Mytilus edulis: one gene and its partners. The protein of the gene in region 2 purifies or fractionates together with the protein of the main gene of each other region. This does not show direct contact. Links are inferred from orthologs where the notes say so. Each region holds a gene or a part of one and is shown on either strand. Other genes may lie near its edges. The genes, in order: DNA-directed RNA polymerase III subunit RPC4-like, DNA-directed RNA polymerases I and III subunit RPAC1-like, DNA-directed RNA polymerase I subunit RPA43-like and DNA-directed RNA polymerase III subunit RPC9-like.

Region 1 (7,665 bases), on a different chromosome or scaffold from region 2:
GTTCAGTTGCTACTTCAATGAGGTACAACTGATAACTCCTTTAATTTGTGTTTTCTACACAAGTATTAACAAATAAAACGATGACTCTGTGTTGGAGACAAGCAACCAAATAAATAAACAACGTGTTAATCAACTACATCATATTATATACCAAACAGTTTTCTGTATAATCATGAGGTTAAAAAATAATGTTATTCTTTTCAACAATCACAATTATAAATAAATGCAAAAATTCTAGAACATACAGCAGATTCACAAATGAACAGTTTAACTGCTTATATTTACTTGGACTGATCTGTTTTCTTATCCTTTTGCTCAGCTGGTTTCCGTACCGGGATTGTGGGTGCAAATACTTTCTTAGGAATTCCTCCAAGAGTTAAGTCTCTAGGTCCTTTTAAAGAGGGTAATCTGCAATTGAAGCAAAATGAACATTGTGAATGCTCAAATAGTAACATCAAGGATATTATTATAGTTTCAATATAGTTTAATACATGTATTGTAAACAAATAAAAAGATGGCAAAGAATATTAGGTCTCTATACAAAATGTAGGAATCTAATGTTCAGTAGTTGTCATTACTGATGTTGACATTTCACATTTTTTATTTAGATTAGACCGTTGGTTTCCCTGTTTGAATGGTTTTACGCTAGTAATTTTTTGGGGCCCTTTATAGCTTGTTGTTCGGTGTGAGCCAAGGCTCTGTGTTGAAGACAGTACCTGGACCTATAATGGTTTACTTTTATAAATTGTGACTTGGATGGAGAGTTGTCTCATTGGAAATCATACCATATCTTCTCATATCTACGTAAATTATTATTGGAGATTAATATAAAACAAACATTTTTTATAAGGTGTGGAAACCAATTTAACCCCTTAGTACTGTGTCAACATGGTCAAGCAATTTATATCTTACACATAGATATGCTAAAAGAAAATATGAAAATTAGCTAGTTAGATTATCTTTGTTTAAGTTTCATAAACAAAGCAATTTGTAAAAAATAAAAAAAACATGATGTTGAAATATATAGGCAGATTGGTAATTCAAGTGTCAAATTATCTATGTACTGGTATAATTCAAAGTGTGGGTGTTAAGGTCGAAGTTACTTACTGCAGGTTATGTGAAATTTACCAATAAACAAATGGCATTTTTACTGGACACTTCATATATTTGAAGCATTCTATAGTATCTAATGCTCACATTTAAATTGGTCATATGGTTTTATTTTGTGTGCAATTTAATTTTACCAGTCAAATAAAAACTAATTTAAAATGCACTTTAATAAATCAAATGTAAAAATATTTGTTTTAAATAAAGTGTGAAAATCTTCTATATACCCAAGAGAGTTATGATAATAATAATATAAACCTTACTACAAATCTGTTAAATAACATATATAATACCTTGCTCCTTTTCCTAATGGAGTTCCTCTTCTATCAATTAACCCTCTAGGTAGATCTGGTGTATCTCTGCCTTCAGCCATAACTCAACTCTGAAATGAAAAGGAAACCTGTTTTATAGAACTTTGTGACTTGAACAGCCATGATAGGCTTAGAATTCTTTTTAAAAGCAATTTCCAAGAAAGGTATATTTATTTGGATCGAAAAGATTGTTCGACATGCGTCATACAAAGTCGAGAAATTTAAAACTGTCAATTATCCCTAATGGGCCAAGAATTTATTATGGACAAAATAATTCACAAAACTCTGTAAACATGATAAAAGGAAGCCTTACTTATTGTCCCTTTTTTATATAGCAATTCACCAACTAAAACATGTAAAACATTAATACAAAATTATTTAACAACAAGAGGCTGTCACAACGACAGCAAACCGGATTTATTAACATTTATTTGTATCCTGCCAATATCACAAGAACCATAACTGATGAACGGTGAAAGTGAAAATCGTCAATATCAAATTTGACCTCCATTTTGTCATCAGTAACATCATATTAAAATTTGAAAAGCTTTGGTTGAACAGTTCATGAGTGGAAATGCCATTTTTCAATCTTTCAAGAACCATAACTCCTGAACAGTAAAAGTCAAAATCGTCATTATTGAACTTGACCTCCATTTTGTCATCAGTAACAACATATTAAAATTTGGGAATCTTTGGTTGAACAGTTCATGCGTAAATGCACGGACACGACTGGAAATGCCATTTTCCATTTTGTCATCAGTAACAACATATTAAAATTTGAAAAGCTTTGGTTGAACGGTTCATGAGTAAATGCACGGACAACATTTGGTTGCCGACCGCCCCGCCGTACATCCCCAAATCAATAACCGACATTTTTGTCACAAAAATCCGGTTAAAAAGTCTTTGAAAGGCCAGAGAAAACGAAGCTATACAGTGTTAAGGTATGAATATGATATCCCTATATTTATAGCAATACACATGATACACCAACTAAACATGAATACAAAATAATTCCACAAAAAGCCTTTGAGAGGCCAGAAAAAACAGAGCTACAGTGTAAAGGTGTGGGATGGGAAAATTAAAGGAGTGATCATGAATTGGAGTGAATATGATTTTTGGGAGAACAGATGCAGATTTGGGGGTTGGAGTCTGATGTCTCTTAATTTTAAAATAACATTACACAATTAAAAAAAATTCTATCTGAAATTTGCTTTAAACCTACCAGGTGACATGGGGTAATATTTTTAACATGACATTTTAACCTATGTAAGGAGGCGCCTTACAGGAGCAGACTGCAGAGTTACAATTTGATTCACTAAATTATAATAATTTTTACTTGAGAGGTTTCAAATAATTGAATATAAGTTGAGAACAGTGGCGGATCCAGAACTTTTCATAAGGGGGCTCGCTGACTGACCTAAGGGGGTCATAGTAAGTTGTATTAGTAACCTGAAACTTTCAAATGGTACCAAATAGTTATGATCTCTCTCTTAAGTCAAAAATATCGAATACAGGTGCAATCGGCCAATCCGTGGAGGGTATTTTTTGGAACTGGGAAAGAAGCGACTATTCACGCATCTGTTTACTTTTCACTGTTATGTTCCTCCTATTTGAGGAGCACTCCCGAAGGATAATTTTATCAGTTATTGAACGCATTGGCGGATCCAGGAGGAGGGTTCCGTGGGTTGGAACACCCTCTTTTTTTGGACGATCAATGCATTTGAATGGGGACATATAGTTTGAATCCCTCCCTTTGTCCTGTGTTTGGACCCCCTTTTAAAATGGCCGGATCCGCCCTTGGAACATATATGAAGATTTTCAAAAATAAGTTTAATATTAGTTTGTTCAATGTTGTGGCATTTAGAGTAATCCATTTGATGTCACTCATAAACCAGGTAACACCTTTTTATATAGGGTGTTTAAAGATTAAAATTTAAAGATATATTTTTATCTTTTTATTGTAAATTATATATTAATTGTACATGACGGGGGCCGAACAGAAGAAGTCTTTTTATTGATATATCATTGTGTATTGGATTAAACATTATTTGCGTATAAATATTATGTGGTGATGGATACTATTATATATGACTCCATTGGAGATGTGCCTACATTGGCAGAAACTATTTTAATACAGATCTATAGGCCATTGTTTGCAAGTGATATTCTTATGCTCTAACATTATTAGACATTGATAAGCATTAGAACTATTATGTAGATGCTTGAGTGCCATGTGTATAAATTATTTGGCTTTCTACACATTAATATCTTATTAAAAATATTAGTCACTTTCCACAATGAGAACCTTTATTACCTGTGAGCACAGCGAAAGAAAAAAAAAAATTCATTGTGTTAAGCAGTAACCATTTTCTCACAATGACTTTATTGAAAAGCAAACTTATGCTCAACGGAACAAAATACTGTAGAACTGGTTTACAAACTGATCATTCCTATCCCAAATTTTGTTTCAAGGTAAAATATTTTCTTTTAAGCATGTATTTCTTACACAGCTTTTGCTTAAAGACCTTGGTTCTTTTTTAAATGCATAGGGGCAAATTCAAGTAGAAAAAAGTTGACCCCAGGCTTAACTAGTGAGAAAGTCTTGATTGCCATGTCCCAAACAATCATACTAAACTGTGATATAACCTCAATTTTGTTTTTTTCAATTTTAATATGTTGAACTGTATTCCGGTTGTCTGCTATCATAACTGATCTATCCTTGCAGGAAACCAGACAATAAATACAACTAAGATCTGTAACAAATTTTGCGTCTACTTTAATTTTGATATTAGCTTTATCAGTTTTCGTTACTTGAGGTTTACTTGAAACAGTTAGCTTGATTATTTTGCTCTCAAGTTTACTCTCTCTTTTGAATTCCTGTCTGATCATTTCTGCCTTATACTCCTCTTCTTCCATTACATCATGACCCCTGTGAACTTTAGTCAGACACTTCAGACAGATAAATTGTTCACAAGTTTGACAAAACAAACAACAGACCTGTCCATTATGTTTTTGACATTTAATGTCACTGAGTTTGAAATATTCCGACGATTCTTGACACAGCCCTACATCTTTTATATTTATAATTCTGTGATCACTGACACTTTTAATTTTTAGATGAAATTTTTCTTTACATCTATTACACAACAATAATGAACAATCCAGACATTTCCATTCAATCTTCGTTTCTACTTCACAAAACTGACATCTTATAGGTATCTGTATGGAAAGCCAACGGGGTCAAAATTCGTGATTCGTAACTTGTCAATTTGTAATTTGTAACTATGTAATTTCTAAATTCTTAATGCATAAATCGTCAGTTTGTAACTTGTACATTTGTAATTTCAAAATTAAATTTGAAATTCAAAAATGTGAGAAAAAAAATACCAAATTTCTTTGACTCCTTATTGTCTGATGACTTTCAAAAGTTCACTCTGATGTTGTTTACATGCTTATCTGTGTTGAAAAGCTGTTTCATTGATAAACCAGTATGTGGAAACTTTGGAGGTCCAATGGCCAGTGAGATACTTTCATGTTCTCTTTGCCTCATGATGAATATAAATGAACTTGTATTTGTATCCAGATGTATAGCTATTGAGGTCTATTGACAATCATTCAAAAGTAGACATAAATGTCATCCAAATTGACCTTTTCTGCTATGTCAGCTAGAAAAGTATATTCAGTAATTTTTGGAATCCATAGTTGTTGCTTCATGACATTTATAGCTTGTAGGTACCACAAACTGTCTAGACAACTAACAATTGCAAATGTTTTTCTTCAATAAATAATTTCCTTCTTTTTTTGTCAGTATTTAATGTTTTGCGGGTGTACTGCAACTGTTCTCCTTTCATAAAATCTCAGGCAGGCAGAACTACTTTGGTTCTAATGATTAAACTGGGTCCTAAATGTGTGTGTGAAAATTTCATAAATTTATCAAAAACCAATGGCATTTTCATTTTCTTATACCTTGAGCTCCAAGGGTATCACTTATCTGGCCATGTAAAATTTAGCTAAACAACAGGTTAAAAAAATCCTAAAAGCCCCCAAAAAATCAAGTTGTCCTCCCTTCAGTAGTAGTCAAATTTGACTACGAGTGAAATGATTTGTCGATCTAATTTGCTTGTTTTCATATCTATCATATTATTGCTTCCATTCATTAATGTTTTCAAATGAAATAAATAAGATAAATGAATAATGTGTCAATAGGACACAGTTCCCTCTGCTTGTAAATACACGGCAAGTTCTGCAATTTTTTTTATTTACAAAAGCGACACAACCCAAGAACAGCAAAGTGACCCCACTCAAATTCAAACTTGATCTGTGTTTGGTGGTAATAAGCTTTATGTATAATTTTTATGACATTTGGATGGAGCAAACTCAAGTTAGAGTGGGGGGAAGACAAATTTAGCAAAAAAAAATCATTTTCACTGTGGCGGGGGCATAAAAATACGAAAAAAATGCATAGAAATAACCAATAAAGAACAATAAATTAATAAGTTTGATGGATTTTAAACAGTATATGTTGACTAGATAATTATTTGGATTCAACCACTTTGTTCTATTTTTAGCCAAAGTAGAAGTGTGAGAAAGTTAAAAAAAAAAAGTATATTAGTAAGTTGTCTTTAATGCCATTTATCGTTTTGCTGAATGTTGTAAAGCATCTATATGAATAGATTTAAAAGTAAAAGGTCTTACTTTCAAAAATATTGTATGCATGTTTGTTTATAGTATGCATTTAGTCACATCTACCTTTATTTACTGAATATAAAAAGAACAGAGGAAAATATATTTGTAATTTTTCTCATTGTTGAAGGCCCTACAGTTGCCTATAATTGCTTACATTGACTTCATTTGAACTTTTGTGAATAGTTGTCCCATTGGCAATCATACCACATCTCCTTATTTTTATATCTTCAAAGGCATATTAAAAATGTGGATAAGTTGGCCCAAAAAGTTAATGTTATATCTGATGATGCATGATGAATAAAACAGGATAATTGTCAATAAAATCATTTAATATAAATAAACATTTTGTTCATATCTTCATCTTGGTCCTTTGTCAACTTGGAAACAGCCATTCTATAATGTAATGATTCTTTTTACCTGTAAATAAAATTGAAAAATAAATACTTCATAAAAACAATTTGACTTTTTGTCATCAAAGTGGTGACATTATGACACGATCTTATCATGTACCTATGGTGTTAACCTCACTTCATCATTTGGAAATAGTATAAACTGACCATTGGCCAATACAAAATGTTTTCTTTGTAAAGCAGGTTGTTTCAACCCTTCCAGAGCACCTGACACACTCCAAGCTTTGGTGGCAGTATCATGTGTCTGCCTTTGTTTTGGGTTTTTTCTGTGTGCCTTGTTCAGTGAAGTTCTTGACATTTTTTTCAACTGTAATTATTTGCTATGTATTATCTTTTTACCATTTGATATATGGATGTGTCTTTTTTGCAAGAAAACTCCAACATATGCTATTATTATATTTACCTGCTGATAGTGATTACCAAATATACACATACTCGGACTTCTTTTGAATTTGTTTTACTGTGCATATTGCTGTGTGTTTGTCTTTCCTACATTGGCTAGAGGTATACCAGGAGGGTTGAGATCTCAAAAGACATTTTAACCCAGCAGCATTGTTTTGCCTGTCCCAAGTAAGTAGTCTCTGGCCTTTGTTAGTCTTGATTTTTGATCTTAGTTCATTTATATATTTCAGAGTTTAGGCTGACGTCAATTAACACTTAACTAGAACACATTTTTGTTTAGGACAAGCTGAAGCACACCTCTGGGTGCGGGATTTTCTCACTGTGTTGAAGACCCACTGGGGTCCTTTGGCTGTTTTCTGTTTTTTGGTTGAGTTGTTGTCTCTGTGACATATTCCCAATTTCCTAATTTTACATGTACACATACATTATACTCTGATTTTTGCTGTTAAAAGTCTTTCTACAATAACATTTCCAAGAATTTAAATATTTTTCACATGTGTAATAAACAGGGTTTGATGTAATGGGCAATCAAAGTATTTATTAAAACCAATGTAATAACCTTCCATATTAATTTCATTTTCAACCTACCTATCCTCAACAAAGTGATATTATTGGCTAGGATATGAGTCCCTGGTAAAAGTACTGTGTCAGGATTAGAGACACGTCCATGGTTAACATATACACCTCCATCTGTTATAATTCTATTGGCATCAACTAGAAAAATAATTTAAATCTTCTGATTTATGATT
Region 2 (7,395 bases):
AGATTTGGGGTTTAACCTGCTATTTATTACTTACTTCTGAAAGAAGAATCCTTCTAAATGCATTGGCTAAAGAGGCATCACTAGTGAGATTTAGGGTTTAACCTGCTATTTTTTACTTACTTCTGAAAGAAGAATCCTTCTAAATACATTGGCTGTAGAAGCATAACTCCTAACGTGTCTACACAAGTGTGAGTTTGGGTGTAACTTGCTATATTTTACTTACTTCTGAAAGAAGAATCCTTCTAAATGCATTGGCTATAGAAGCATTACTAGTGTGAGTTTGTAACCTGCTATTTTTTACTTACTTCTGAAAGAAGAATCCTTCTAAATGCATTGGCTATAGAAGCATCTACTCCTACCATATCAAATTCAAGTTCATCATGGCTCATCTTTACCATATCAATTCTGAACTTCTAAAAAAGTATAATTGGTTTACAACTATAACCTTGTTCTAACAAACTACAGTAAAACCTGTATAAACCGGCCGGCTACGGGACTATGAAAAAGGGCCGGTTTGGGCAGTGAGCCGGTTTATTCAGGTTTCCGTATCGACCGGAAGTTAATGACTTGTGACGTCCGATAGTTTGCATATAAAAGTTCTCTTTGATAGTTAAGAATATCTGATCAATTAAAATATTTTCACTTCGTTTTCCATTGTTTACATTTGCATCCTAATGCTCGCGTTGTTTGGATTGTGAGACGAGAGTTTCGATTTACTTCCATGATCATTTATTTGAAATGTTGGAATGGCCGATCAAAAAGCCAGAATATTATCAAACGTAATCTCATCACTATTGAAACGTTGTCGTACAGTTTACTATACCCATTGATTGTTGTCATCTGGGTGGTTTTCATTATCAAGGTCATTTGTTTAGGGGTTCACAGCAGGGAACCCAGGGTTTCGACATCACGTTGTAAATTTCTTATGCTGCGATTTAAATTTGTTTATCCAAGTTAACGTTACAAAACGTAAGTTAAATCCGAGATATATTCGGTGTGTCTTGTCGTTTAATTGACACGTTTATAATGTTTTAATAAATAATACAGCTCACTACTGTACGATTGAAAGTTCACTTCACAGTTTAACACCTGACTAATTGATTAATTATCCTGAAAAGTCATATTGTATAAAGTAAACAATTATGTTTTGATTGCATATCGATCAGTGAAATTAATTAGACAAACCGGTTTTGACAGGTAATAATTAATGTAATTAAGAGTATTGGGACTTCATAATTAGACCGGAATTCGGAATACACAGGGTCCGGTTTACAAAGGGTATTTTAACAAAGACTTTGAAGGAAAAAAAATGGGACTTTCATTTTCGGCCGGAATGTACAGGAAGCCGGTTTATTCAGGGTCCGGTTTAATCAGGTTTGACTGTACATGTAAAATGCATTGTTTCATTAGTTTAATGTCTTTGCTTTACTATAATTTACTTCTTTTTTTTTTTAAATACTTTGCAACTTATATTTGTTGCTTGTTTTTAATTTTACGGTGTACTGTTATTCCACTGTCCAAGTTTAGTGGTGGGTTGGCGCCTTAAAACTAGTTCAACTTTAACTGCCACATTGTATGTGCCTGTCCCAAACTGTAATTAAGTGGTTGATGTTTTTTGCTAAATATCATATTTGTATTTCATTATTATTTTGTAAATAAATCAGGCAGTAAGTTGTCTCTTTGGAATTGCATTACATTAGTCATTTTGAGGCTTTTTATAGCTGACTATGAGGTGTGGGTTTCAATTATTGTTGAAGGCCGGACAGTAACCTATACAAATCTTACCTTTTCAAATTTTTTCTGACTCCAAGAGTCATCATAATCTTCATAATTTCCAGGAAAGTCAGAGCTATGTGTCTACAAATATAATTCATGAGTTATGTTTTTATTACATATTTAGAATAAGTATCTTAACATAAATTACACACCCACAACCTATCAGGTCTGTGACTGAATTTATTTTGAGTATTCATATGGTCATTAACTCATTTGATAAAGTCATGCTGATTATAAAGGTGCACACAGTTTTCTCTGCTTTCAAAATCTTTGTTTGAACCTGTCCTGGTTTTCTTACTACAACCAGAGACTACTTGTAGTTATATATTTTTTGGCCGATGATTGAATTTCATAGTGTTATTCCCTGTATAATGACAAAGTTCAGGTGTGATTATGACTTGTGTACAATGTATATAGCGAATTTTAATTCCAAATACACCATTTATTCAACAAATTATGGTCATTTGCATAAATCATCACTGTTTTCTCGTAGTCACGTGATAATCTTTGAAAATGAAAGGCAAATGGAAAAATCGATGGGTCTCTGTGAAAACTGTTAAAATATGGAAAAATAAAAGTTGGCAGGTAGGTGAAACTTACATAAATGAAAAGATAAATGAAAAATGAACAGATTGATGCCTGATTTATTTAATTCCAAGGCCGTCAGTCGGCACCAGAAGCGACGAAGCAGCGCATCTATTTTGGGTGGGCAAATATCCACTTTTTGATATGGGACGAGCTCTGACGTCCCACGGCCCCAGCTTGTCTGACAAAACAGCCGTTGGACCTCAGAGTAATCTCGGACTAGATGAACGTGAATAGTGCAGGGATACAGGCGACCCCTCTATCAGATTATTATATCTGGTAAATGACCTCATAAAGACACGTATAATTGACGAGTTTTATCCAGTGACGGATGAACTCGAAAGTGGTCTATTGTTTCAACATATATTATAAGCTTTAGGAACAGGATCAGGACATGTATCTTTTCCTCTTTTTATACAGAAATTATAAGACTCAAAATTAACCAGAAGCTTACAACCTTTACTATAGTATACTAGTTCCATATAAATGCTGAAAAAACATACATTTTCTACAGCATGCTCCCGTAGAGTAACTTTCCTCCTGACGTCATCTATTAGGTCTGTCATGTCAGACTTGGGTATTTTTTCTAAGCTACATGCATGTTTGTAAACAGCTCCATGTGCTGGTCCTCCTTTATAAAGATCATCTGAACGCTTTGAAGCAACGTAAAACTCCTTGGTGCAAAACGTTCTCCTGACGTTGAATGTGGGAGGTTAATCATTTCCGGTATACGAAATTATTCAGAAATGGTAACACAGCCTCTTTTTATTATATTTTAAGGCATTTATTCATGATTGAACACACATTATTTGGCCGTAACACTTTCTCAGTTGATAATAACTTGCAATAGTGCTAGGTGTATTCGGAGTTGAGATCCACATTTTGATCTGAGTGTTGTTGACACTGTCACTTTTGACAGCAATGCTAAAAAAATTTGAATGTATAACTTACAATACAATTTCTGAGTGGTGGAATTTAATATTTTGTGGGAGTTCTTGGCCTATTGATGCTTTTCCTCTGCTTCTTCTTAAAAAAAACGGGAGTCGTTACTTTCTGCAGAAAGTCTGAAAGAATAAAGTTCTAACTTCTGTTGCCCGGGCTACTTCTGTCTGACAGGCGCACACAGTTTTAACCCTCTTGCTGCCGGGGGGACACATGTGTCCACACCGACTGTGCTGGAGGGACACATATGTCCATGTTTTAACTTATGCTAGCTTCTCATCATTACTGTACCTCTTTCAAAATAAAAGACTGAAACTTAAAAAGTGTAATATGTTTCTACAATGACTCTCAAATGTAACGGTCATTACAGCATGACATCATATATCAAATGACATCATTGTTTGGCATGTCACATTGTCGAGCGGTCATATTTTCTGGCATATGAATGCAACCCTGAAAAACATCTGGCAGCAAAAGGGTTAAGTAAGTTATGTTAGTGCATAAAAGGTAGCACAATACAAAGATTTTTCATCCCCAATCAGACATCTTTAAACTGATGTAATTCCACTCATCTTTCTTTAAATGTTATAAATGAGGTACCAAAAGAAAGAAGAAGGATTATTCTTTCAAATTGTGATAATTTCATTAAGACATATCTTCATAGCATCCTAAAAAAAATTATAGATTCTTGCACAACACAGTTTGACCTCCAAAACTGTGTCTCAGATTTTTCCTATTGTATTTCATTCTCTCATAAATCTTCAATGAAGTTTGCAACATCAATTCATTAGAGACCACTTAGTTCAATTGAGTATAAAATTTGTTCTATTGATGATTTTGGAAATCTGAGACACAGTTTTGGAGGTCAAGCTGTGTTGTACAAGAATCTATAAAATATTTTGGGATGCTATGAAAAACAAAGACGCTAAATTCATTCAAGTGTGGACATCAAAATATAGCGACTAATTACATAATAATTAATTATGTAATAGTTATGTCATAATGAAATTATCACAATTTGAAAGATTGATCTTTCTTCTTTCTTTTGGTACTTCATTTATAAAATATAAAGAAGGATGAAATGAATTACATCAGTTTAAAGTTGTCTGATTGGGAGTGAAAAAATCTTTGTATTGTGCTACCTTAAATTGGTATCTGTCTGTTCACTTACAAACACATTCAGACCCTACATGTGCGCTAATTGAGCCTTGGGTCTGTTACACCAAATTCATGTCGCACATTTACTGGTTGGATAGACCACTTTCAAGTTATGTCCACCACTTGAAAAAATCATCAATTATGCACACCATTTTGACGATTGCTGAAATTTAACATATTAAAAGGACATGTTACATGTACATGTATGTACCTATATATTTTGAAGCTGTATTTTAGAGTTATGTGTATTCTGAATTATTCAAGAGGCAATTTCACAAAGGCACAGGGAATCTATGACATCTGACTTCCACTTCAAAGGTTCATAAGATACTTTTATCTTTACTGGTCTTGTGAAAAATAACACCAGGATGTTGACCAATGTCCAGCAGTCTGCTCAAGTAATTTAATGAAGCTATTATATTAAACTTTTGCTGCTATTTAACTTTATGGTATTAACTGTAAATTTACAATACATTTTTTCTAGATTCGTTTTATCCTGATACAGAACCGGGCTGGCAAAACGCGTCTGGCTAAGTGGTATATGCACTTTGATGATGATGAAAAACAGAAACTAATTGAAGAAGTGCATGCTGTTGTTACTGTCCGTGATGCTAAACACACTAATTTTGTAGAGGTACATTGTATGCTGTGTGATACTAGCACATGTACAATACCCATCATATGAATAAACAAACAATTATTTTTGAAGGGTCTCTTGTACTAAAAGATCAGTGTGATGCAATATAATTCTTGAAAAACAATGGACACAGTAAGTTTCAAGTGGTGTATCTTAAAAATGCTGAAACATCAACTTGAAACTTAGCACTTATTACCAGTTGAAATACATGAAAAACATCACCACAAGTTACTAAATGACACAGAAATTAACAACTATCATGACTATTCAACATTGATTGCCCATACTGGGAAGTCAGCCATAAAAGACCCTGAAATGACAAATGTAAAAAAAATTAAAGAAGAAAACTAAAGGCCAAAATGAATGTACAAAATAATGAATGCTTACCTGTAGTTTATGTTCAAGCAATCCAAAGATTGTTTTTTTTTTGTATTTTAAAGGGTTATTTGTAATAGATATACCTGTGTATAATAATATGTAATTTTTTTTGCAGTTTAGGAATTTTAAGATTGTGTACAGAAGATATGCTGGTTTATATTTCTGTATCTGTGTTGATGTAAACGACAACAATCTTGCATACTTAGAGGCAATACACAATTTTGTAGAAGTGCTTAATGAATATTTCCATAATGTCTGTGAATTAGATCTTGTATTCAACTTTTATAAGGTAAAGTATTTATATTGTGTCTCAACATAAAACCTTTATTTTGTGTTCATAATTATACAAGTTGAATAAAAGGATCTTAATAGATATATGAATGACAGTATTCCTTTTGAAGTTGGTGGTTTTCTCTTGGGTCCCGGCTTCCTCAACCAATAAAGCTTGTCACCATGACTTAGCCAAGTGTGCTGTAAGTGATATTAAAGACCAACAATCAATCTATCAATCTTATAAAATTCATGATGTTGTAACTGACAGAACAAGTCATGCAATTACAGAATTTCCATTAAGAAGTTTTAACTATTTATTTTCTATATTATGTGTCCTCTTTGTTGAGCCTCAACATTTTAAGTAATTGGTTTCTATGGTTTTCATACAATTTATAAGGGTCTGTACAGTGAAATCAGGAAAACAAATGTTCTAATCTATCATATCTTTATAGAAAAAAAAGAAGAAAAAAAAACCAACAACAAAAAGCAAGAAAGGAGAAAAACTTATGAACCATATCAACAAACGACAACCACTGAACAACAGGTTCCTGACTTAGGACAGGTGCAAACAAATGCTGCAGTTTAAATGTTTTAAAATCCCAGTTTGTCAACCATATTGAGGCCCTGTCCTAGGTCATGGTCCTGCAGCTTTGATTTAATAAGATTGTAGCTATCTATAAGATTATTCCTGAATTTTCTGCTGACAGACAAGACATATCTTTGTGTCAACAGTTTATTTAATGGGAAACTTCGATCTTCAGTTATATTTATTTTGTTTTATTTTTAGGTTTACAGTGTAGTGGATGAGATGTTTTTAGCAGGAGAAATTCGAGAGACAAGTCAAACAAAAGTTTTAAAACAACTTCTTATGTTATCATCATTAGAGTAAATACTATGTTATAGGACTTAATAGACCAAAGTGTTGTAGACAGATGTCATTTATTGTGTATGATTTTATTACTATGAACTTTGTTGGTTATTTTTAACAGAAATGTTACAATAATTGGCTATTTAGATAAAGATGTCATAATCCATATGTAAAACAACAAGTAATGTTTCTGAGGACAGTATCTGATTGCAAGGTGATTTTTGCCTAAAAAAAACAGAAAAAAGCTAGAAGTGATTAGAGTGGAAAGTGTAGAACTTTTTTTATTTCGTTGTATTATATAAAAGTTATCATTATATTATCAAAATGTTGTTTTGTTGAGACATGAAAATAATGAGAACGTTAATAGATATTGTTCATATGAATGATACATTCCAAATTCACCTAGTTATTGTTAATGTAAATACATGATATTATTGCATCCTCCAGCATGTTTTCGTGTTTCATGGTTACTGGAGAACTACATATATATATATATATATACAACTCGTCTAAACATCAACCCAACAATGTTAGATCGGTTAATTTGCTTTTGCAAATTTTTTTATCATCCCTCGCCGGGATTTGAACCCATGCTACTGAGATATCGTGTAGAGTTGTCACTGACTCAGACGTACTTATATATATATACCTATCAGAAAGGGAAGGAAATTTAGATATACAAAATCTAATTGCAGCTAAGAAAAATTATTATAATAGCATTTTGGTAAGACCCTAATGAAACTGAAGAGGCCTCTGGATCAGTTGCATAGATGAGGAG
Region 3 (7,052 bases), on a different chromosome or scaffold from region 2:
GATATGAAAAAACGTTACCTGATGATTTCATATCTTTGTTTACATTGAGTATGAGGTCAAATAATGTTACAACTAAAATCCAAATCAACAGAACAAAAATCAGAAAAGTCAAGGTATTTCCGTTTCTTTTTTTTAAACAGATTTTAAAGTTAAACATGTTAAAATTATGTTTGAATTGAAAAAAAATCATAGACTTCATCCCCTTTCACAGGTAATGCCTGCCTCAAATTAGTTAAAGTTGTGACTGAGTTCGGAAATACGAAGAAAGATTTACCATGTTTCTGGGACTATCATACTAACAGGACTGGAAACCATTACACCAATCAGAATATCTAAATCACAGTCGTTAGAACGAGACTTTACCTGCGCTATTTATGGATACGCCATATTGATTTGATAGTGAAAGCGTGCCTTGATCTTATAATTTCTGAAATTATTTTTTTTATTTTATAGTTATTAGAAATGATAATCCTTAATATAATAAAATTGAGAATGGAAATGGGGAATGTGCCAAAGAGACAACAACCCGACCATAGAAAAAAACAACAGCTGAAGGTCACCAACAGGTCTTCAATGTAGCGAGAAATTCCCGCACCTGGAGGCGTCCTTCAACTGGCCCCTAAACAAATATATACTAGTTCAGTGATAATGAATGCCATACTAATTTCCAACTTGTACACAAGAAACTAAAATTAAAATAATACAAGACTAACAAAGGACAGAGGCTCCTGACTTGGGACAGGCGCAAAAATGCGGCAGGGTTAAACATGTTTGTGAGATCTCAACCCTCCCTCTATACCTCTAGCCAATGTAGAAAAGTAAACGCATAACAATACGCACATTAAAATTCAGTTCAAGAGAAGTCCGAGTCTGATGTCAGAAGATGTAACCAAAGAAAATAAACAAAATGACAATAATACATAAATAACAACAGACTACTAGCAGTTAACTGACATGCCAGCTCCAGACTTCAATTAAACTGACTGAAAGATTATGATTTCATCATATGAACATCAGGCACAATCCTTCCCGTTAGGGGTTTAGTATCATACGATCATAACATATATGAGAAGAACATAACCCGTGTCATGCCAACAACTTGATTACTATAATGATAAAAGTTACCTCGATCTTTAACAGTTGTTATTAATCACTAAATCCGCCTTAAGTGTAAGAAATAACAAAAAGATTGAAATTTTCAGGATGAAAATGACGTGGGAACGATGTGGAAAAAAGGAGATGATTAATTAAATTTCTTATAACTTTTGATTGAAAAGAGATACCCAAGTTGGGTTTGTTGTGAAATCATATTCATAGGTTATAGTTTGGATTTGCCTATTTTTATTGTCGTTTTAAAGTGACAAGTGGAAAAATATCTCTTTCTCATTACAACCGGAACCCACATGCACGGCTTAAATAAATTTTACTGTTCCTACAAAATTGCCTACTCCTTTTTAAGTGTGCAATATTTTATTATAATCAGGGTTAATTTTGCTTAGTAATGGTCTTCAGGTGGCATTAAGCATATGACTTCGTGAAAATAGACTAGGTTCCACAATTACAACTACAAAAGTAGGCCCGATGATGCACAGCCATATTGAAATTTTGGTGTAAACACGAAGTTCACAAAAGTTTAAAACAATGTGGCTATATTTTCATGAGACCAGGGTAACTTTTGTTATATGAATTAATTAGGAATTGAAATTGTCAACATTGTTTTTATTGCACACATATTGTTTTCATCAGGATTATTTATGATCTGACAACCTTTGACACGTTGTTATCTTAGCGGTCAAGTAAAGTGCTGCATTTCGACTATATCTGGTTTATCATGTTTATTTTCAACATTACTATATTGACTACTTCTTAATATTTTTTCGTAAACAATATCTGGTTTTTGCATTAAACTAATTAGCTTATTACAGGGTATGAAATTAGCAGAGGCCCACAGGCCAATGGCCCCTCTAATTTAGTGTGGGCTGCTTAAATTTCTGCTTTTCTTGTAAATTAGACTATATTTGGGCTACAAACTTTAAGCTGTGGGCTACAATTGCCAAAGTCTTAAGTTCTATCCCTGTTTAATAATTATTCTTTATTTCAAGTCCACCAATTTTAACTGTTTTTCTATATATATGCTGACTTGTTTGCCGAAATCTATTGTTTACATGTACCGAATGCTAATTTACTACATGACACAATACGCTGTCAACCAAAACAAAAATCAATAATCCGCTATTGGGGCAATGAAATCTCAACAGATTGTTCAGTTTGCAGACCCTTAAGTACGGTATAATAAATTTATAATACACCTTATCGCTATTTGTCCGCCATTACTGCATATCACACAGGTTCATGTAAAATTTTGACGTCATAAAACAATATATCTGACGCAACAATGGAAAAGTGATTGATGTATGCTCAAAAGTTCAAGCGGCCGGGTCAGCTGGGATTAGCAATAAGATGTATAGTCCCAGCCATGTTTACATTCGTAATTTGGACTCTGTAAATTCTTTCCCATTTTTACAGTCTCAATTTTTAAGGTAAAAACAAGTTGTAACTGTAGAAAATTTCATTGCAAAAAATAAAAGTGGTCCACAGAAAATTTTCAAAAAAAGGGGGGAGGTATTCAAACCACTTCGAGTTCTTACCAGCTTGCAACTAACTGCAGTTCTGAGTTGAGATGTTCTCTCACTCCTTGTAAAATACTGTTGAAAAACTTCGGGGGTAAAACAATATGTCGCTTAGATGAAACTGCTTCAAGATGGGAAAAAGAACACTTTGAAATTAGTGATTTTGCCTCGGAAAATGTCAATCGTGTATGTTCCATGGAAGCTGCCATTTTTTTTTCTAGAGTTCGCGAAAGTGTGTGACAAAATTTGGCTTTGTGAAAAATTGGTCAATGTTGAATATTTTTTTTGAGTTAAAAAAAACCCTAAGAATATTGATGTATAAATACTATTCTGAACTAATTAAAGTAAAATTATAAGTTAATCCAAGTTTATAGATGGCGCCACGAAACTTCCGGTTGACCGAAATATTTACCATTCAAATCCAGCGCTCATATGAGATAACTAAATATTTATATTGCATATATGTAAGTATGCTTTTGATTTGATCCCTACCAAATCACCACTTGAAACTGTTAGGATAAATTGCTTTGATATCCCCTTTTGTTTTTGCAGGTCCCCTTTTTTCTTACTTGTAAAGTTGCCAACTGTCATAATCTGATGTCAGTGATTCATAATATATGTTTACTGTCAGATCATGAAATGAAATAAACTCACAACATTTGCAAATAGCAATATATGTTGTATTTTCTCCTGGAGAGGTGTTGACCTGATTTGTTATCCGCCTTATCATACAGTCTATAGCCTATAGTCTATACACCTTATTGCTATACACCTTATCGCTATTTGTCCGCCATTGCTGGAAATCACACAGGTTCCCGTAAAATTTTGACGTCATAAAACAAAATGTCTGACGCCACAATGGAAAAGTGATTGTTGTTGACGTCAAAAGTTCAAGCGGACGGGTCAGCCGGGAATAGCGATAAGGTGTATTTGTCCACCATTACTGGACATCACAAAAGTTCTTGTAAATTTTTTACGTTATAATAGAAAATATCTGATGCCACAATGGAAATAGTTTGAGAGAGACAGATTCTCTGTTCAGTCGAGAATAGCAATAAGGTCTATTCCCAGCTGAACCGAAAATTTGTATTGCTTGAACAATTGACGTCATACAACAATTACTTTTCCATTGTGGCGTCAGATATTTTTATTATGATATAAAAAATTTACAGGAACCTGTGTGATGTCCAGTAATGGCTGACAAATAATTATGACATCTTGAAAGGCTATTATACTTTTTCGCTTTCACGCCTTGCACGTTGTGCATTCTCATTGCTTTGCTGGGTTAGACATGGGGGATTCAAATGAATCTGAAGGAGAGAAGTTTTTTTTAGTTTTAACATTTTGAGCCTTAGGCGCTGTTCCCTTGTTTCGCCTCAAGCTAAGCAATTAAAATTCCTGAGGTTTAAATGATAGAGATAAAAGCAATTATAGTTAACTTATAACCCTACAGTCTACAGTAATGAAAAAAAAAAAAACTCATACTTTATATTCATGAAAGGCCTAGACATAACGATACATAGAGAATAATACATGGCAAAATCTGTATCATATGTCGTATCATCCCGAGACATCAATATCAGCCCAAGGGCCTTTAGGCCCGAGGGATGATATTGGTCGAGGGTGATACGGCATGTGATACGGATTTTGCCATGTATTATACGCTTTATCATATGTTTCAACAGAATAGTATTATATTATATGAACTGTTTTCTGATCCATAGCACTGGGTTACCTTCAGTTCTACTTTTGTCTTGTTTCAAAGGCTTTCAAAAGTACTGCTCAATTACTTATCCGAAGCACCTGGGCTACCTTACAATTTGCGTGCTGTTGTTTAAAAAAAAAATGTTTATTATTGTATTTATTTGTGTGTTTTGTATTTTTTATAGTTGCAATTAGTGTGCCAAAAAATATGAAAACTTGACGTTCGTGACGTCAAATACAATATGAAAACTTGACGTTCTTGACGTCAAATACAATATGAAAACTTGACGTTCGTGACGTCACATACCAAACAATGACGTCATTCAAAAAATTGACCTATTTTGAGGAAAATTTTTCTTAAGCAAAAAAAAACAAACAAAACTGACTTTACATGCTTCATATAAAAAAAAAAAAAAAAAAAAAAAGTAGGGGTGTGATAAAGGGTAGAGGTGTGATAAAGGGTATGCGATAAAGGGTATGCGATAAAGGGTGCGCATCAGAGTTGCGCGATATGGATTAAACAGCAGGCTATTTATCAAATATGCAAAACTACTGTATTTACTACTTAACATATGATAAAAACAATAAAACTTTAAATTATAATAATATTAATGTGTACATGGTATACTGTACAATTTATGAAAAACAAATAATTTGAAATATGAACCAACAACAACCACTGAATTTAGGACTCAAACCTTGAGACAGTATAAACATAAATAATGTGGTGAGGTTAAACATGTTTGTGAGCACACAACCCTGCCCATGCCTGGTGTTGCATCACAACATCAGAACAAACTGTAAAAAATATTTTACTTAATAAATCAATATGAAGCACAAATAAACTGTAAAAGCACCTAGCATTGAAATACATGTACCCTCCCTGATTTCATGTTCTGGAATATGTCAGTCTTATTGACATATTGATTATTAATCACAGAGTTGTGTCATTGAAATCTTAATATTTACAAATTACGATAGAATCATATTAATTACATGTAAATATCAGTATATTCCTTCAAAGCAATATTTTTTTTCTAACATGTGTAAACATTCATGACATTGTATTTTCCAGGAGTATTATTAATCCATAATGGGAGATGACAGTGAATGGCTGAAACTTCCTGCTGAAGAAAAGTGCCAGCATAAGGTAAAATTAAACTTTACAAAGATATAGGTCATGTAGGTTATGCATGTTATATATACATATAAAATTTATGTTATCCCAAACTAAAACAAAAATTAGTGCACATTCAACAGAGTTAGAGTAACAACATCAAAAGCAATCTTAGAAAAGCATAACTTGGTCATGTTAGCAGGTTAGTGCAATGCCAGTCTGCACCAAATTCTTTTCCAACTACAAGTCAGATGACCAATATTCAGACAACTTTCTTATGTTTATAAACAAATATTTACAAATACTTACTATTAAAAATGATATTCAATTAGTCTTGGGACATCCATCTAGTGGTTAACACTAAATGGTGTAGACTGCAATGCCAAAACTATTAGTATCATTTTACCTTATGAAGGATTCAAACTGGCTTGGACCTGAGTTACCTACCAATTGGGATTGAAAGGGAAGTGTAAATGGAAGCTTTAGTGTTACAGGAGGAAATTAACTTATTTGTTTTTGTATTATAGACATGGAAAGCACGTCTAGCAGGATATGAAGAAGTTACAAAGATATTTAGCCAACAGACTGATCCCAAGTCTCCTGAATTCCAGCGCTATGCTGGCCTTATGAAGAAGTTTGTCACTGATACCAATGCTGTGGCTCAAGAAAAAGCATTGGATGCTGTTCTAGCATTTGTAGAGAATGCTGCTGTAGCATCCAGGTTTGATCATTTTTGTATAACTACAAGATAATATTTAGTTTTATATCACCATTCTATGGTATCATGACATCTATGGATTTATTGTGATGTTTGATAGCTGTCTTGTTGACAAAGGCCCTAAATCTGAAATATCATAAATACTAGATTTCAGTTCAGAAATTATTTTGTTTCATCATATGATTGGTAAAATTAGTATCTTACAAAATTTCTTTGCAAACATATTAGCATGATTTCAGGACTTAGACTTTTACTTCGAGCATTTTAATCTATAGATATAAGAATTTGTCGTATGAGTGCCAGTGAGACAACTCTTAATATCCAATTCACAATTTGTAAAAGTAAACCATTATAGGTCAAGATACAGTCTTCGACAAGGAGCCTTGGCTCACACCTAAAGTAATGGTCTTATCTATTTAAAAAACTAGAAACAATTATGAATCACTTCAACAAACAACAACCACTGAACATCCGGTTCCTAGCACTCAATAGGATCCATATTCTTATTCTAATACATCTACACTGTTATTGACACAAAAATCTTTGCTTAAATTAACTGGATAATATTTTGTCTACTGTATTTAACATGATATAAAAAAAATTGCAATGATTGTTGAAGGCGTCAAGGAAATTAGTTGGTTATAGGGATTTTGGTCCCTACCTGGGAGTGTTTATGTTTTAATGATATTTTTATTTACAATTGGATGCATTTTTCTTTTGGAGACTATAGCATAACTATGAATGTGCGATAGTGACACAAGGTTTACAATATTTTACATTTTATTTCCAGAGTAACTGCTGATGTAGTAAGTGGTGTGATAGCTAAATGTCTTGGTGCACCAAGGCAAAAGACCAAAGATAAAGGAACAGAAATTGTGCTGAT
Region 4 (7,315 bases), on a different chromosome or scaffold from region 2:
GGCGGCCATGTTTTTTGACGGATCAAAAATCAAAGCACACACTTTGTGCAGGATAATCTAAGGAACAACCATGCTAAGTTTTAACCAAATCCATTCAGTAGTTTCAGAGGAGAAGATTTTTTAAAGTTAGCAAATATGATGAACAAATTGTGAAAAATTGTCATTAAAGGACAATAACCCCTTAAGGGGTCAATTGACAATTTTGGTCAAATTGACTTATTTGTAGATCTTACTTTGCTGATCTTTTTTGCTGTTTACAGTTTATCTTTATCTATAATAATATTCAAGATAATGACCAAAAACTACAAAATTTCCTTAAAATTACCAATTAAGTGGCAGCAACCCAACAATGGTTTGTTTGATTCATCTGAAAATTTCAGGGTTGATAGATCTTGACCTAATGAACATTTTTACCCCATGTCAGATTTGCTCTAAATGCTTTCGTTTTTGAGATATAAGCCAAAAACTGCATTTGACCCCTATGTTCTATTTTAAGTAACGGCGGCCATGTTTTTTGACAGATCAAAAATCAAAGCCCACACTTTGTGCAGGATAATCTAAGGAACAATCATGCTAAGTTTTAACCAAATCCATTCAGTAGTTTCAGAGGAGAAGATTTTTTAAAGTTAGCAAATATGATGAACAAATTGTGAAAAATTGTCATTAAAGGACAATAACCCCTTAAGGGGTCAATTGACAATTTTGGTCATATTAACTTATTTGTAGATCTTACTTTGCTGATCTTTTTTGCTGTTTACAGTTTATCTTTATCTATAATAATATTCAAGATAATGACCAAAAACTGCAAAATTTCCTTAAAATTACCAATTAAGTGGCAGCAACCCAACAATGGTTTGTTTGATTCATCTGACAATTTCAGGGCTGATAGATCTTGACCTAATGAACATTTTTACCCCATGTCAGATTTGCTCTAAATGCTTTCGTTTTTGAGATATAAGCCAAAAACTGCATTTGACCCCTATGTTCTATTTTAAGTAACGGCGGCCATGTTTTTTGACGGATCAAAAATCGAAGCGCACATTTTGTGCAGGATATACTAAGGAACAATCATGTTCAGTTTCATTCAAATCCATTCAGTAGTTTCAGAGGAGAAGTTGTTTGAAAAATTGTTAACGACGACGACGACGGACGCCAAGTGATGAGAAAAGCTCACATGGCCTTTTAGGCCAGGTGAGCTAAAAATGCATTTTATAGCAGTGTTTATGTGAATTATAAATTTAAATGTCTATGCAATCATGTTGGTAAATAAACACCCTACAGGGTCAAGTCATTAACCCTTAGGGTCAAGTCATTAACCCTTATAGAAATGAAAAGGCTGAATATTGTTATATAAACATATCAATGTCCTAATCTGAATAATTACTTATTAATTAGTGATGTACATATAAATTATACAAAAGTAATTTTTCTTACATTTTCTTGTTAATTTTTAATGTAAGATATACATGTATACATTTGAAAAATGAATTCTTTGAATTTATGTTAACAGTTTGACCAATCTAGACGAGAGGGTGATTTAATAGACTTTCAGAAGAGAATTATTGATAAAGGCCTTTTCCATTAATATTTGTGTAATGTGTGACTACATATTTACTTGTCTCATAGTTGCAAGAATAGTACTTTTTAAATGTATTATCACTCTCAAACAAGTAAACTAATTTATAAATCAAAATGTGTTTATAAATATCTTAAATGTATTGCAATTGAGTTTAAATTTCAGGCAAGTATTTTATATTACCCAGTATTGCCCAGTATTACCCATTAAAACCCAGTAAAACCCGGGTTTTCCCAGTATTTCCCACTGGGCAGGGCAATACTCATAAAACCCGGGTTTTTGCCAACCCTGAAAAGTATTATTAAATTTGTTTGTAAGATGTTGTTTCGATGGGTCTTTGCTTATTTTTGTCATAAATTGTAACTCATAGCAATACAAAAACAGGTCCGCAATAAGTGGTGCACAGTTAGTCCCCATTGAAATTCCGATAATCTGACGATATACGGAATGTAAAGAATATTTTTGTTAACAAACATCAATAAATATATTCTATTAGTCTATGCATATCAAAGGGAAACTAATGAATTGGTTGCAGCAATACAAATATTTGGCAAATATTTCAACACACTTAACCCTCTTGCTGCCAGAGGGACACATATGTCCAGACCGACTGTGCCATAGGGACATATATGTCCATGTTCTAATTTATGCAAGCTTCTCATCATTGATGAAATTCTTTAAAAATTAAACAAGAGTGCACACACAGAAATGTCTCGCCTTCTTTACTAATCATTGATATTATGTTGATACTCCTAAATCTAAAGCTTTATTACAACCGTCACATAGACTTAACATGAACCATGAAAATGAGGTCAAGGTCAGTTGAACCATATGCCAGGCAGACATGTACAGCTAACAATGCTTCCATACAACAAATATAGTTGACCTATTGCTTATAGTTTAAGAAAATAGACCAAAACACAAAAACTTAACACTGAGCAATGAACCTTGAAAACCAGGTCAAGGTCAAATAAAACCTGCACGACTGACATATAGATCATAAAATATTTCCATACACAAAATATAGTTGACCTATGACATATAGTATTAGATAAAAAGACCAAAACTCAAAAACTTAACTTTGACCACTAAACCATGAAAATGAGGTCAAGGTCAGATGACATCTGCCCGCTAGACATGTACACCTTACAATCATTCCATACAACAAATATAGTAGACCTATTGCATAAAGTATGAGAAAAACAGACCGAAACACAAAAACTTAACTATAACCGCTGAACCATGAAAATGAGGTCAAGGTCAGATGACACCTGCCAGTTGGACATGTATACCTTACAGTCCTTCCATACACTGAATATACTAGACCTATTGCTTATAGTATCTGAGATATGGACTTGACCACCAAAACTTAACCTTGTTCACTGATCCATGAAATGAGGTTGAGGTCAAGTGAAAACTGTCTGACGGGCATGAGGACCTTGCAAGGTACGCACATACTAAATATAGTTATCCTATTACTTACAGTAAGAGAGAATTTAACATTGCAAAAAATCTGAACTTTTTTTTCAAGTGGTCACTGAACCATGAAAATGAGGTCAAGGACAATGGACATGTGACTGACGGAAACTTCGTAACATGAGGCATCTATATACAAAATATGAAGCATCCAGGCCTTCCACCTTCTAAAATATATAGCTTTTAAGAAGTGAGCTAACACCGCTGCCGCCGCCGCCGGATCACTATCCCTATGTCGAGCTTTCTGCAACACAAGTTGCAGGCTCGACAAAAATTAAAAAGTGCAATATGTTTCTGCAATGGCTCTCAAATGTAATGATCATTACGACATGACTTCATATATCGAATGACGTCATTGTTTGGCATGTCACATCACAAACATGATCATCGAGCAGTCATGTTTCCTGGCACATGAAATGCAACACTGAAAAACATATGGCAGCAAGAGGGTTAAACATATTCTGTTCAGATAATAAACATTATGCACTAGACAGCAAAAAAGGAAAACAAATAAAATCAGGGAAGTGGACCCAGGGGGAACATGTATCAGGGCGAACAGGTACTAGGGCAAAAGCGAATCAGGGCAAACCTGAATCTAATCGAACATGAATCATGGTGAACGGACCTGGATTCAGTCATCGCTGAAGAGTTACATGAACATGTATATTTAGTGAAATTGTTATGGAGGATCTGTAAATGAGCTATAGAGGCAGGTGACCGCTGAAACAAGGTGACAATTAAAGCAGGTTTAACTGTACAGTTAAGGACGATCTGGTAAATAATATTTGGTAGAATAATAATTTTACAGATGACATGATTCTAATGTTTTTGCTACTTTTAAAAATATTAGATAAAAATTTTGGTGTTAGGCATGTTTTTACCGTAATTTAAAAAATCAGCGTTAATGCATTTTCGAGTAAAATAGAAGAAACTGGTTAACTAATTTGCTGTCAGCATCATCTGACGTCACCAATCGATTTACAGTGAAATTCTAACAAGGAAATCGAGTTTCGCGTTAATTACATCGTATTCCGGATAATTGCTATTAAATTGCATAGAATCAATATTTCCCAACAAAAATTGTAAAAATACATTTATTCATAAATTATAACGCGAGAATATTAAAAAAAAATATGAAGACAGCATTGTTATTGTATTTTTAAGAACAATTGCAAAAGTAAAATGCGTAAAATATTTCGTTGTTTCTCCGTTAATATTTTTAAGATCGATATTTAATTTTCCATATCCGACTTCCGGTCTTTTTACACCTGAATTTGCAGTAAAAACAAATGAAATGTTTAGATTCTGTAAATGAAGTCTGTGTGTCAATATTAGATAAAAATGATTGTTGTCAGTAAAACCACCATACACGGATTATTAAATTTTGTAAGCATCATTTTTGATTAATCAAACATCCTTTAATTAAATGTAAAAATGAGTTACCTAAACGTGTTACAACTCGATTTTTTTAGATTCATTTTACAAAATTCATTTAGTTGTTCAGATTTATACACATTTCAGATTTATAATGAGAGTTTTGTCATATGACGCCGTGGGCCTCTGTGGCAGAGTGTTCTAAGTAGTTACTACTGTAATCGCTAGCCAGTCAACACCAAGGTTGAATGAACTTACAGGTCCGTAACTAGCCTCTTATAATAGTGAAGCAAAATATATTCACCTAGCATAGCGATGTGGAAAAATTTTGGCGAGGGGTCTGGGGGCCACTCAAGGCCGGAAGAAGCTCTGAAAAAAAAACCCTCAAAATCGTGCATTCTGAGGGTTTCCCAGACTTTTTCTTACATTAAAACGAAATCAATTTTTAGCTATTTTTTTTTTAACAATATTCTTGTCTCAATACATAGATTCAGTGTAATTTAAGACTTGGGTTTTACGTGGACAGCTTTAAAGGTAGACCGATATGTAGGATAAAGCAAAAATCGTAATTCTCATTATAATTAAAATCGGATCTGTCTGTTCTTGTCTTGTATTGTGCTTTGTTTACGACTAGATTTAAATATAGTGACAGTGCAGTATTATACTTTAAGTACTAGTTCTGCTTAAGTCGACACTAAGGACCATCTTGACCTTGTTTGAAGTTACTAATGATTCTTTTATTGTTGAAGACCCCCCAGCAACTATCAAGATGAAGAGCAGGAATAAATACTTTGACCATTGATCATTTGTATTTTTCTCTGCATTGACTTTGTGTTAGATTAGGTCCCGTGCAAGTTTACTACACATTTCTTTATTTTTTGTTAAAGGGTCTGAACACGACTTATTAAATGCAAGTTTAATCCTTCAATGTATGAAAAGGTCATACGGTAAAACATTGATGTTTTTTTAGTAGATGATTTGATACCGGAAAATTGGTGGTCTTACTTTAATTTATACCTTGTCAGCTATCTAGTTTTATCTACAAAAAAAAAAAACAGTTTTGTATTCTTTGAAATCAAGTTCAATTCTTCATGCAGAAACGACCATTTTTTTTCTGTGTCCAGTAGCATCGTGTATTCTCAAAATATTTCCTTGCACAATGTCTGGGCATCAGTGGACATGCAACATTGCAAAACCACACTTTTACAAATGAAAAGCAACAATCATACTATCGTCATAAAGTAGGACAATAAATGAACAAAAGACAAACCCAGGACACAGTACAAACAATAGACCATCAAATCTGAAAACTAATAGTAAAATAGAAACATGGATCACGAAAAACATGCAGGTGCGACATCAGAGAGTGAAGAGAACTTGCTTCAGATTGCAAGACGCTTTCTATGAAAACAACTTGATATGAAGACAATCTTTTGTTTCAGTTTTGTTTTTTTAAATTTCCAACATGAGGCATTTGCCTCAATGTAGTTACGGCCCTGACTTATACATTAGTGCCCACCTTAAACTTGCTGTGAGTTGAGAGTTTTTGCTGTTTGTTGAATGGTCACAATGTCACCTTATGATCAACAATAAAAGCACAGTTTTTATGCCTTTTGTGCTTTTTGCTGTGCAGGCCAATCATTTTCACTTTGATTTAATTGTTTTATATCTGTCATTTCGCTCCTTTTATAGCTGACTAGTAGGTATTTGTTTAACTCAGTGTTTAAAGCTGTACATGTGGTCTATAGTTGTTAAATTTTTGAGTCATTTGGTCTCATGTGGAGAGTTTTCTCATTGACAATTATGCTCTATCTTATACCAATATCTTTTCTTTTCTAATATACTGTGACAGGACAACTAGTACTTCGTCCATTAGAACATTTGGTAGATACTAAGTCAGCTGTAAGCGATTGAGCTAAGGAAGTTCTTCTTTAGCTCAGTTGGTTAACACACTGCCTAGTAACAGAGGTCCTAGTTTCGCGTCCAGGTGGAGACGAGCAATTTTGTAATGAAATTCATTCTCTCTGGTTACAATACAATATATTTTAGATTGACTTCTGTCATAAATTATGATAAACAAACAATTAAAGTTAAAGAGTCAGTTGGGAAGTTCAAAATAACCATAATCATGATAGTAGGACCAAAAATAAAAACAATTTAGGATTAGCACTTTAATTTTCTATACATTGAAATAAGAACTTTGTTTCTAAATAAACCTCTTTTTTTTAATTTTAAGTTACTAGCTGTGATTGTGTTGCTTGCCCAGGTATGTATACGTTTAAGCTGCTAGTAGATTTATTTTAATTTTTTTAATTTTCAGTTACTAGCTGTGATTGTGTTGCTTGCCTGGGTATATGTTATAGCTGCTGGTAGATTTATATCCATCAGGACATTAGAAAAGCAGTTCCCAACCTCATAGATTATAAATCATACTATAGTAAAATGGAGGTGAAAAATGACAACTCTGCTATACTGAGTAATTATGAAGTTCTACAACTCCTGTCTGACATTCACACTGGAAGAGGACAAATCAAACCAAACAAGCACCAGAAAAACCTTGCAACTATTACCTATGAAACTGTTAAATATCTAGAAAATACACCTTGCAAAAATCAAAGTCCAGAACTTATTCAAAACATCATGACAGATTTGCAAGCATTTAATTTAACAAAAGCAGAAAAACTACAAATTTTGAATCAGTGCCCAACATCAGCTGTTGAAATTCAATTGATTATAGAAGAAAGTGAAGAACGTTTAACAGAAGACCAGATTTATCAGCTGTTAGAAATCATAACAAAATATAACGTAACAAAAGAAGCATCTAACGCTGGAGATGAAGAGATGGAAGACGAGGACGATTCTGTGGAACAAACTTAACTCATTTACATA

The links.
Region 1: the proteins of DNA-directed RNA polymerases I and III subunit RPAC1-like (region 2) and DNA-directed RNA polymerase III subunit RPC4-like purify together in Homo sapiens (affinity purification with mass spectrometry; 6 studies listed by BioGRID and IntAct, counting the BioPlex papers as one, with this or other methods). This does not show direct contact. The link is inferred for Mytilus edulis from reciprocal best matches to the Homo sapiens genes POLR1C and POLR3D.
Region 3: the proteins of DNA-directed RNA polymerases I and III subunit RPAC1-like (region 2) and DNA-directed RNA polymerase I subunit RPA43-like purify together in Homo sapiens (affinity purification with mass spectrometry; 3 studies listed by BioGRID and IntAct, counting the BioPlex papers as one, with this or other methods). This does not show direct contact. The link is inferred for Mytilus edulis from reciprocal best matches to the Homo sapiens genes POLR1C and POLR1F.
Region 4: the proteins of DNA-directed RNA polymerases I and III subunit RPAC1-like (region 2) and DNA-directed RNA polymerase III subunit RPC9-like purify together in Homo sapiens (affinity purification with mass spectrometry; 5 studies listed by BioGRID and IntAct, counting the BioPlex papers as one, with this or other methods). This does not show direct contact. The link is inferred for Mytilus edulis from reciprocal best matches to the Homo sapiens genes POLR1C and CRCP.

Annotation. Positions count from the first base shown.
Region 1 is NC_092352.1:32,783,644-32,791,308, forward strand, and holds the start of DNA-directed RNA polymerase III subunit RPC4-like, read right to left. Parts: upstream 3,013-7,665; 5' UTR 2,868-3,012; intron 1,493-2,867; exon of another isoform or gene 1,490-1,492; 5' UTR 1,481-1,489; coding exon 1,401-1,480; intron 409-1,400; coding exon 286-408; intron 1-285. Other genes in the region: tyrosine--tRNA ligase, mitochondrial-like, read right to left, coding at 6,478-6,521, 7,505-7,630. UniProt on the Homo sapiens protein: DNA-dependent RNA polymerase catalyzes the transcription of DNA into RNA using the four ribonucleoside triphosphates as substrates.
Region 2 is NC_092346.1:91,463,927-91,471,321, forward strand, and holds the start of DNA-directed RNA polymerases I and III subunit RPAC1-like, read right to left. Parts: upstream 3,025-7,395; 5' UTR 2,928-3,024; coding exon 2,865-2,927; intron 1,858-2,864; coding exon 1,786-1,857; intron 414-1,785; coding exon 306-413; intron 1-305. Other genes in the region: AP-2 complex subunit sigma, read left to right, coding at 3,108-3,110, 4,946-5,095, 5,592-5,765, 6,537-6,638. UniProt on the Homo sapiens protein: DNA-dependent RNA polymerase catalyzes the transcription of DNA into RNA using the four ribonucleoside triphosphates as substrates.
Region 3 is NC_092350.1:28,387,075-28,394,126, reverse strand, and holds the start of DNA-directed RNA polymerase I subunit RPA43-like, read right to left. Parts: upstream 3,007-7,052; 5' UTR 2,840-3,006; coding exon 2,649-2,839; intron 1-2,648. Other genes in the region: cytoskeleton-associated protein 5-A-like, read left to right, coding at 5,428-5,484, 5,979-6,172, 6,960-7,052. UniProt on the Homo sapiens protein: Component of RNA polymerase I (Pol I), a DNA-dependent RNA polymerase which synthesizes ribosomal RNA precursors using the four ribonucleoside triphosphates as substrates.
Region 4 is NC_092344.1:6,443,858-6,451,172, reverse strand, and holds the start of DNA-directed RNA polymerase III subunit RPC9-like, read left to right. Parts: upstream 1-4,294; 5' UTR 4,295-4,438; intron 4,439-6,746; 5' UTR 6,747-6,868; coding exon 6,869-7,303; 3' UTR 7,304-7,315. UniProt on the Homo sapiens protein: DNA-dependent RNA polymerase catalyzes the transcription of DNA into RNA using the four ribonucleoside triphosphates as substrates.